2 linked regions of the Nothobranchius furzeri genome follow. The protein of the gene in region 1 binds, or shares a complex with, the protein of each later gene. Links are inferred from orthologs where the notes say so. Each region holds a gene or a part of one and is shown in the gene's direction. Other genes may lie near its edges.

The links. The genes of interacting proteins can lie anywhere in the genome.
Region 2: synrg (region 1) and aftpha share a complex: the UniProt entries of both Homo sapiens proteins name them as parts of the aftiphilin/p200/gamma-synergin complex. The link is inferred for Nothobranchius furzeri from reciprocal best matches to the Homo sapiens genes SYNRG and AFTPH.

Annotation. Positions count from the first base shown.
Region 1 is NC_091753.1:55,100,590-55,105,800, reverse strand, and holds part of synrg (synergin gamma), read left to right. Parts: intron 1-376; coding exon 377-501; intron 502-606; coding exon 607-669; intron 670-1,348; coding exon 1,349-2,287; intron 2,288-5,211. UniProt on the Homo sapiens protein: Plays a role in endocytosis and/or membrane trafficking at the trans-Golgi network (TGN). May act by linking the adapter protein complex AP-1 to other proteins. Component of clathrin-coated vesicles.
Region 2 is NC_091746.1:29,670,290-29,676,192, forward strand, and holds the start of aftpha (aftiphilin a), read left to right. Parts: upstream 1-2,411; 5' UTR 2,412-2,601; exon of another isoform or gene 2,602-2,667; intron 2,668-4,380; 5' UTR 4,381-4,416; coding exon 4,417-5,880; intron 5,881-5,903. Other genes in the region: uncharacterized protein, read left to right, coding at 1-572. UniProt on the Homo sapiens protein: Component of clathrin-coated vesicles.

The DNA of each region.
Region 1 (5,211 bases):
TTGTCACTTCCGTGTTGGCCTCATTTTCAGACCCGTATTGTGGGGGCTTGGTCCCGACGCAGACGCAGAAGTATAAATTAGGCTTTATCCAAGAAAGAAAAGTGAACGAAGGCCACGGAAGGGTGGTGTTTCTGTTAGCCAATCAGAGGACAGACATTTGTATATCATGAAAATTAAGGAGTAAGACTCCTCTGATAAACTTCTCCTTCCTGAAACAGGAGCGCCAAGGCTTTTCTCCCACAAGGCGTTCGTTCAAGCCAGAGACCACAGCGAGTTTATTAAAAACCTTTTAAACATTAAAATCATCTCCGACGTCTGCTAGAGGGTAAAGCTCGTTCACTCCTCTCGTCTGAAGTGAGCTTTTGTGTTTGAACAGCACTCCGGCCATGCTGACTCCAGTGTCTGGCTCCTCCTCTTCCTCTGTCACGTCCACCGATAAGTACGCTGTGTTCAAGCAGCTGTCTGAAGATCAGCCCGCAGAGCCGACGCCCCCCACATCAGGTGAATCAAACTCCCACGGCGCTCCAATCTGGGGCCGTACGTCACAGCCGTGGCCCGTGACTCATGTTAAAACGGTTCGTGACTGTTGTACAACTTTCTGTTCAGATGTTGGTGACAAGTACAGCGTGTTCAGACAGCTGGAGCAACCCGCTGACAGGAAACCTGTTGGTAAGGAACACACCTTCTCCTCCTCGCTGTAATCTCTGTCATCATCTCAAACGTTTCTAGTAAATTCAGCCATAGATTCTGAGTGTTTCACCTCTTTGGGGAATAAAACTATTGATCTGAAGTTTTAGAGTGGATGTTTGTGAGCCCGGAGTGGTGATCTGAGTGTATTTCCCGTCCGTGTTTCATTAGAACAGATTCCGATGGGGGCTGCTCTTACATCTCCAGTAAGTCGTGCTTTGCAGTGACCTTTCTTTGGCATTGCCAGGCTCCATCCTCTCTAATGAGCCTATTAGTTATCTCTCTTCCACCGCCGGTGTGAACAGACCGCATCTATCACTCCTCAGTGGTTTTTACCCGACTCCTGTCTCGTTTCTTGGTTTTGCAACACAACGAAGTGAAAGTTTGTTCTGACTTGCCCAAAAATGTTCATCTGGTTGATTTTGGCTTTTTGAAGATCAAGAATAAAACTGAGGATGATCATTTTTGCTGTTTGGGTTTCTTACTTGTCTGCTGCGTGGTCGTGTTGTTAGAAGCATGTCTTCTGCTCTCTCTGAGGCCACGGTCCATAAAGGCGTTTCTGTGACTGGCTTCCTTTCTTAGAGGATAACAAACAACATTGTTTGCTGTTCTGTTGTTTGGTTTTTTATGTCCAACTCATCTACTATCTTTTGGTTTCCAGGGGAAGGATTTGCAGATTTTAAGTCCATCAACACCGACGACGGCTTCACAGACTTTAAAACTGCCGACAGCGTCTCTCCACTAGACCCCCCAGATCCCACCAAGATCTTTCAGCCTGCCTTCCCCTCAGCTTTCCCAAACTCTCAGAATGTACAGCAGCCTGCAGCGTCGGCATCTCAGTCCAAAAACCCTCTCAACATGGCCGACCTGGACCTTTTCTCCTCGGTGGCTCCCCCTGCTCCTGCGTCCACCGAGACCAAGCCCGGTACATTCCCTTCTGCATCCGTGCCTCCTTCTTTAGTGCTCCTGCCCGGCGGAGCCAAGCCTCCAGCGGGAGGCACGGATGATTTTGGTGACTTTGCCCTCTTTGGCCCCTCCTCTGACACGGCTCAGGCTTCAGCAGCAGGAGGAGCTGCAGCAGCGCCTCAGGATGACTTTGCAGACTTCATGGCGTTTGGCAGTTCTGGTGGAGAGCCGAAAGGTGAGAGCAGCACGGGGGTCCGAGGGGAGACCTCCGCGAAGCAGTCTCAGCAGGGCGCCGACAGGTACGACGTGTTCAAACAGCTGTCTCTGGAAGGAGGCCTTTCCTACGACGACACAAAGGAGAGCGGCGGCGGATCCTTCTCGTCGCTCAAGAGCGACACGGATGACTTTGCCGACTTTCAGTCGTCGAAGTTCTGCACGGCGCTCGGTGCGTCGGAAAAGACTCTAGTGGACAAAGTGGCTGCGTTCAAACACGGCAAGGAAGACTCCGCCTCCGTCAAGTCCCTCGACCTTCCGTCCATCGGCGGCAGCAGCGTTGGGAAGGACGACTCGGAGGACGCACTCTCAGTTCAGCTGGACATGAAGCTGTCGGACATGGGCGGAGACCTAAAGCATGTGATGTCAGACAGCTCTCTGGATTTGCCGGGTCTCTCGGCACACCAGCCCCCCGCTACAGGTGAGGAACTAGTGCGTTTGCTCTGGTGAGGCTCCGTTCAGCCGCACACGGGTTTTACTGCAGCCGGCCAGCCCCCCCCCCAGCGGAGCCACTTACAGTACAAACCGCCAAGCTAAAGGTCAAAGGGCAAGGAATGGGTCCCTGTCCAATGGAATATGACCAAATCCAGATGAAAACACTAAAACATATCAGATTAGAAGCATCATTTTCATCTTACATCCCATCAGTCATTCATTAATTCATTCATTCATTCGTTTATTTATTTATATTTTCTCCTCTTTTTAATGACATCCCATTCGTTCATATTGTGGTGACGGATCTGTTTATGTAGAAATAACGAGCGTTGGGTTCTGAGGCGTTAGTCGTGGTTTACAGCTGCGTTTGGCTCCAATAAGCTGCTGGTGTGTTGTTGGCGGCGCTGCAGCAGACGCAGCGTAAGGGCGCGTAGTCCACGCGTGGAGCAGGAGGCCCGGCTGGACTCCGAGGAGCGCGGGAGTTGGTCAGCTGTGAGGATCCCCGTTTATTCAGATCACACCTTTTTTGCACACGCGTCACACATTTCCTGAAGCGTCGCCTCAAAGGTTGATTCAGCGGCTGTTTGCTCGGAGGCAGAAAATATCACAAAAGGTTGTTGTTGTTGATGAGAGATTCTGCATGCAACACTAAATGTTTAACGGTTGCTGGTGTCTGCAGCATCATGTCAGATCCGAGTGCACGTGTCAGAATTACCGCATCAACTCTGCTGTTGATTATTTACTTACGAGATTCTAGCTGGGCCGTCGGATTTTTCATCTTCTTAGAGTCAAATTTTACTTAAAGCAACACTTTGAAACTTTTTCATGTTTTAAAATAATTTTCTTGAGCCAGAATGTGTTAAAATGACCCTTTACAGGGTTAAAGAAAGGCCACCCAGCCCCTCGCCCCCTGTGGCCAGAATATTCCGCTTGCAACTTCAGACTGGCGGCCGCTCTATTGGGACTTAGAAAAAATGGAGCTGACATACCTGGTGCTGCAGTCTGCTTCCAGCACGTTTCCTTCACGTTTTAGATCATGAAAACAGCTGATTTGTCTAATTTAGTGACGATCACTCTTGTAGACACTAATGAAGGCTGGCCGATGTTTCAGCTGTTAGATGAATGTGCTATGGAGATGAACGCACAGCTTTCAGTTCCACAAATGGACACTAGAGGGTGGTATAAGCATGCCAAAACTGCCTAGTTCTCTTTTAAGACTTAGTTAAGGTTCAGTTATTAACTAATTCGCTGCCAGAGTTTCTCACCGTTTTTACTGTTTTTTTTAAGAGTCACAGAACGTTTCGCGCTAGGATGATGCATCGACATATAAATATTGGACAATGGGTTTCCATAGGCTCCAGTAACACATTTTTGAAGAAAAATGGGAGGTGGCCACCACGGCCATTTTGACCGTGTCACAGGTTCCGTCAAGCCCAGACAATTCCACAAAAGGGAAGAGAGGTGGAGCTGAGGGTGGGGCTGTAAGGCTGGGATCAACTGACGACACCCGGTTGAACTAGCTACAAGCTAACCTGAAGCTAACCCAAAGCTAACGCGGAGGTGGGAGCTAAGCTAATGGAGGTAGCAACCTAGCTACAACCGGAGTTAACTGTGCACAACACCAGAGCTTCTGAGTCAGAGATACGCCGGGCTGACCGCTGGGTAAAACCGGGTGGAACACAGAGGTCTCCCGAGAGCTCCACAAGCCGATAGTCGGAACCCAGCTCCACCAACATGTTATATTTCAACCCATTTTCTAAAGTGCAGCATTATGTTAAATGCACTGGGTTTTACCCTATTACATTTAAATTTCATGGTTAAACAGTACATGTTAAAATCTAAGCTCAGCTCGGCAGTGACCTAAAATACATAAATATAATTTTACTTACCGAAAAATGAAGTGGAGACTCCTTGGACGCTCTATTAGTGCAATTAATGCCACAGCAAGTCATTTTGTCCAACAATTGCACAAATAATATCCCAAAAATAATACACAAACACAGAGACTGAAAATCCCAGAACAGTTTCCAGGCCAGACTGAGGCTCAACTGAGGCCTTTCCACAGAGCTAGCTCTGTGGTCACGTGGGTCTGATGCTCATTAATTATACAGAATTTTAGGCTTTTAATACACTTAAACAGAAGAGTGAGAAAACAATCCACCCCCCTCAGAGTTGTCATGAGTGTAAACTAGATCATTTAAACCAAAAACATGTTTTGGTACCAGGCTGTAAACATGTTAATTTCTGCTGTGAAATTGGTATTTTTAACATGGAAGTCAATGAGGATTTGCTCGCTTCTGACACCAGCCCCTAGTGGATGAGGGTGGAACTGCAATTTATTTCAATTCCGCGTTGGCCTCAATTTTTCACCCACATTCTGGGGGCTTGGGATGATGTCGACGCCAAAACAACCGAAACAAAGAGGAGACTCACCTCTTACATCAGGAAGAATTCGCACATATCGAGCGTTATCTGTTCTTTCAAAATCCGTTGTTGAATTGTGATCGGCAGAAGCTTTTCCGGTTCGCGCCTCACTTTTTTTTTTACATCAGCGGCCCAAAACGATCTCCTAACACATGGATTTTCTGCTTCCTGATCATGTGACGTGTGACGTACGCGGTTGAAGATCGGCTTTAGAGCTGGGGTGTTTGTTCTTACAGTGCGGGGGCTCGTCCGACGCCCACACAGTAAAAACGTGCAAATGACGACTATTCGTCAACGGTAGTGAACAAGTTAATGGTTAATCGACTAATGTCAGTTTAAGATTAGGTAGTCTATGTATCACTAGAGAAAAATCAGATATAAGAAGTCCGTTAAGGTTCCCATTTTTGCAATCAATGGTTAAGAAAAAAAAAGTCATTTTTTCATGCGTACTGTTATTGGCTCTTGTTCTCCGATCGCGTAAAACGA
Region 2 (5,903 bases), on another chromosome or scaffold:
GGTTAGATGAAGACTCTGTGAAAGCTCACCTCCCAGATGTGTTCCAGGGTTACGCTGACACTCGGGTCATTTTAGATTGCACAGAACTGCGATGCCAAACCCCAAATTCCCTCCTCCTCCAGAGCGAGGTGTTTTCAAACTACAAACCGCACTGTACATTCAGAGGGTTGACTGGGATAGCCCCTCATGGTGCAGCGACATTTGTGTCTTCTCTTTATCAAGGTGCCACCAGTGATAAAGAGATCTTAAAGCAGTCAGGCATTGCGGCCCTCCTGAACCCATCAAAGGCCATCATGGTGGGCAAGGGTTTCCTTGTTGAAGACTGTGTTCCATGCAACGTCCACATACCCACGTTTCTGTCGCAGAGAGCTCAACTGTCAAGGCCAGAGATCAGAAAGACACGGTCCATTGTGAGACTGAGAGTCCATGTTGAGCGTGTGATTCGCAGGGTTAAAGAACACAAACTATTCAGCACCGTGATCCCCTTTTCAATCACAGGCGACATTAACCAACTCTTTGCTGTCGCCTGTCTTTTGGTGAATTATGAAATCTCCTCCTTAGAGATAGGGTGAGGAGCTCGGACATTCGGGAGGGACTCGGAGTAGAGCCGCTGCTCCTCCGCATCGAAAGGAGCCAGTTGAGGTGGTTTGGGCATCTGGTCAGGATGCCTCCTGGACGCCTCCCTGGGGAGGTGTTTCGGGCATGTCCTGCCGGCAGGAGGCCCCCGGGTCGACCCAGGACACGTTGGAGAGGTTACATCTCCAATCTGGTCCGGGAACGCCTTGGGGTCCTGCCGGAGGAGCTGGTGGAGGTGGCCGGGGAGAGGACGGTCTGGAGCTCCCTAGTTGGGATGCTGCCCCCGCGACCCGGAACCGGACAAGCGGAGGAAGACGACGGCGACGGTCCCTTGGTGAAAACCTGGGCAAGCAGTTGCTGAGCTCAATCCAGAATCAGACTGATAACATAATGTGAATGTATATAGTTCTCATTTGTGTAGTGAGTGACCTGCAAAATGTTTTCTCTAACCTCACAAGAATCCCTTCAAGTCATAGCCTGCACTGTAAATATAGGATGTGATGTTAAGGTACAGTGTGATTAATTCATTAAATGAGTTTGTTTAGGTTTTGTAACGCATCTTTTTTTCATTCAGTAAGATAAACGTGGTTTCAGAGATGTTATACCTGCCGACAGTTTCAACTGCATTTATTTCAGTCTTCCTCAGAGCCTCAGCCGACTTCTTGCTGTCGTGTCATTGGCTGGCTGGTAGCGCTGTCAGAGCTCACCACCAGAACAGCCTCCCTCCTGCCAGGAGCACTTGGTGGTGAGTTGTGATGGTGCGCCCAACTGAGGAAAGAGGAAAACGGGATAGACTGAGTGAGAACATGCACTTTGAAGAATAGCTGAGGTGGCCATTTTTTCCGCTTTGGATGACTAACAAACCCTCGTTTGTTTACAACAGACCAAATAACCTGCTAATGATTCCCACTCAGCTACTCAGCTGCATTTGGCTACCAACATCTTTCAAATGCTTTTCACATCAGATGAGATGTTCTGCACACAATCTGCAGTCCGTGTACGTGGCAGTCCGTCGAGATGCTGCACAGATTCCGGTCCACATTCATTCCGCACTTGGTGTAAATGAGGCTTAGGCTGAAGAGCTCAGACATCCACAAGAGTCCGAGTGGAGGCACCAAGATGAGCAGTGTTTCAGGCATGTCCTTCAGAGAGCTGACCCGGGACCCGGGATAGAGTCTACAGGTGAAACTGTAATGGTGCTAAAGTCCATTTATTTTAGTAGTTCAGCTTAGAGACCATCTGAGCGCTCAGGAACCATCTGCAGGTGTTATGGATTCATTAGCTGATTAGAATGTGACACTTTTAACCTAGAACCTTTTCACAGTGTTTTAATTGTCTGAGATATTGTTTGTCACTGCCAACAGTTACAAAAGCTAAACCAAACACAACTGTTTAAAGTACATTTATTAATGCCACCAGTTTATTGAGATTAACAGACCAACATAATCTGTGTGGAGAAACCCTAAACACTCTTGATATGTTCTAGACGTTCTTATAATTTTATTTGACTGTAAAATACAAAAAATAAAAAACACTTGTTTAGATCTAGAGAGTATTACCACGTTTAATCCTGCACAGAAACCACAAACTGATTCAAATTGTGGAATTGGTCCATTTTTCTCTGAGATCATGAGCGTCACCGCCAGGGCTCCACACAGGCTGCTTTTGCAGTTTCTTTGACTTCTGCCACAGACAGCAGGAGAAAGTTGGACTGTTATCGGTACCATGTGGACTGAGTGTGTAACGGGTTGATTCTGGGAGGAATCAGCCTTTTTAGAGAATTTCGATCCCGTGCACGGCTCCGTAAACTACCTGTTTCACCTGGAAAGTTTAGAGACGCAAGCAGGCTGGGAGCGGTGCATGCTGGGAGGATTCGAGGCAGGATAGCAGGAGAAGAGAAGAGGCAGCCGGCTGACTCCACCTTCGCGCCCCGCCGTCCCACCCAGTCCGGCTGGCCGAACCCGACCACCTGTGGACAGCGTTGTTTTGACCCGAGCCATGGACTCTCTTGGCCGGCGTCTCACGGTGAGACCCACTGGTGGTCCGGTCAGACGAAGCTAGCCTAGGGGCTAACGCTGAAGCTAGCTCCGGGTAGGCTTCGTTGCTGAGCTAACAGCTAATGTGCTGCCTTTAGCAGCGGATTTCAACAGAGTTGATCCAGATTGTTTCTTTAAAAGACCATAACCGGCCTGGTTACTGTGGGTCTTAATGTTGGTTAGTTCGTTTTTCTGTCACTCCACAGGCTAATTTAGCTAAGCTAGCAGCTTGTTTTGGTGTCTCGGCCTGTAGCCTAGCCCAGCTGGACCCGAGCTCTGGTGGTCAGAGTTTGTAAACCAAGCCCTACATATCGACTTGTTTCTGTTTTTCATGTAAAAACTCCCTCTGTCAGCCTGATAATCAGTCTGGGTAAGGTTCGGTTAGCCTCCCCGTTAGTGGCTGACAGATGAAGTGTCAGAAACGGTGAGAAGTTGTGACACAGGTGAGCAGGATGTGCTGGCTCACTAACAGCTGCTGTCATTAAACCCCGAATCAGCTCAGACAGGTGACTTTCAGTCCGGACACTGGTCTCGGATCAGTTTCCATCAGAGCACTCTCCTCTTCCTGCTGGGTGACCAGTTATACTGGACTTGCAGGTTCGTGTTCCAGCTCTGTGTACCTGCCTACAGGTGTTCTAGCTCCTCCCAACGCCAGTTTTCTGTTTCAGGTAGATGTTAAAAGGTAACAGTTCCTGAAAAAGCTACTGAGAGCTCCGACTTTTATTCAGTTCTGACACAAAACAAACACCTTATTTACCTGCTGGACTTTGTAAATAAACCAACAAACTTAGTGGATGAAAGTTGTAGAATCAGCTGATGGGTCTCTGACCAGCTCCCTGAGTGAGCATGGTTGTAACTAGGGCCGGGCAATATAGACAAAAACACTGATGAAATAATTTTATATTTATATAGATAATTATTGCTAACCATAATTGCAGCCCTGGTGATTATTTGTCATTAGTTGTGTTACAAGACTTGATTTTTATCCTGCCTCTGCAGATTTAGCAAACAACCCTTGTTTGTTTTTTCTAGACCGTGCCATGCTGGTGAACTACTGGGACTTTTTTTTTGGGGACATTTTCTTCCACCCGTCCTTGTTGTGACATCTTTAAGTCAAAGTTAGGTTTGAGAGGCCAGGTCTTGGTGACAGAGCATGCCTGGGTCGGTGTTTTTGATTGGTTGAGACAAAGTAATGACTCTGGCATTAACCTACCCAATAGGCTGTAGTGAAAAAAGAAAGGAGACTCGTTTATTTATCACACCTCTCATTGAATAGTTGTCCAGCTCTAGTTGTAGCATCTATTCTAACATATATTTACTTCGACTCTGCAAAAAAATAATAGAACAGTTTTAGAAACACCCCAACAAGTTCTGTAGAATGTTTATACCCAAACGTAAAATCTACACTCTCTTCTGAATGTTGCCTCCTGTTGTGTGTAGGTTAGTCATCGCTCAGGTAAAACACACCTGGTAGAAACCAGAGACACCCTAGAGCCCCATCAATCCCTGTTTATCAGTTTTCTCCAGTGAAGCTTCTTCTGTTTGTGTTTAAAATAAAACAAAGATTTAGATCAAAATATGGAACTGAATGCAAAATATGCTGCTATAATGACCCAGAGGACACACACACACACACACACACACAAAGTAAATTATTCTCACAGCTCAAAATACTTTGTTATAGTTGTCTAATCGTCCAATCTGAACTCTGCCTGTTAGCATGTTGCTAACTCTGCAGCTTACTGATGACTTCCTGTCTCTGTTGCAGGTGTAGCCCAGATCGCTCGCTGACCTCCACGGAGTCATGGAGCCGGATGTTATCCGCATTTACTCCTCCTCGCCACCGCCAATGGAGGACGGCGCAGAGGAGGAGGATGAAGAGTTTGGAGACTTTGGGACCTTCTCCAGTGTTCCAAACAGCATCAGCCTCTCTGAGTTTGACACCCCGACGACGTTCGACCAGACACACGCGCTCACCGCCACCTCGCCTCCTGAGCTCCTCAGCAGCAGGGGGGTAGTGGGCTTCAGCCACGGACCTGCTAACGGAACCTGCAGACCTGGTACTGAGCTACCCAAGGCTAACGGTGTGGGACCCATAAACTACCAAGACAATTGTCCCTCAGACAGAACTGAGACTAAGAAACCTGTCTCCTGCTCGCTGGACTTATCTGTGAGCAACATGGAGGACAGTGAGTCCACTGAGTGTAACGGTGGAGACACTGGGGTGCTGACTAATGGGTTTGTGACCTTTGATGTTCAGGAAAGCCTGTCCTCACAGATTTCTGTCCACTCTCTGATAAAAGGACAGTTCACTGAGGACACGAGAAGCGTCCACACCGGCAGCTCGGAGGACGAGTTTGCAGATTTTGCTGCTTTTTCCACCTCTGAAGGACATTTGAGCCAGGTGGTGGATGAGAACAGGGACAATCTCACAGCAGGTGGCTGGCTGCCAAAAGCTGCCGTCCACAATCAGGACAGTATCACAGAGCAGGGATCAGAGGACAGGGACACTAGGGAGACATCAGACGGGTGGATTGCTGACTCACTACAAAGGGACCTGAGACCGGAACGCTCAGAGACTGATTGCACTAATGACTGTCTCGCCTTTAGTATGGTGGACGGATCTAACGAGGCAGCTGGGGGCGCTGTTGATGACCTTTCACCTGACCTGACAGCTGACAGTGAGGTGGGACAGTCAGATGAGAAAAGCTCGGAGACGGAGACATCATTTGGTCGGCCTCTGTCCACCGAAGCCCTGGAGGAATACGGTGACATGAGCACCACGGGATCGGTGCCGTCTCCGCCTCTCCAGGGGGACACAGCCACTCCTGCAGAGGATGATGAGGACTTTGGAGACTTTGGTGATGCTGCCGTCTTTGGAGGACAGGGCTTTGGGGAGGTGCAGCAGGATCAGGGGCAGGACCCTGCTGCTGGACTAGATGTCAGCACAGAGCAGGACGACGACTTCGGAGACTTTAACTCTCCCAAAATCCACAGCATTGGGAATGAGGGTGAGGCGGGGGGTGAAGAGGCAGAATTCCCAGACTTTCCTGCCAGCTCCAGTTTTGGGAATTTCAGTTCGGCTGTAGGAGCAGAGGAGGATTCTGGGTGGAGGGCCTTTGGGGAGCAGCAGGAGCCAGAGGAGGAGTCCTGGGCATCATTCAGCACTGAGTCCAGCCCTGCTCCCCCTCCTGAGAGGAAAGGGGGAGAGGGGCACGAAGAAGGATCTCCTGCAGCTAGCGGACCAGGCCGGACCGACACACAGCTGGTAGGAACCTGGTCAAACTGGGT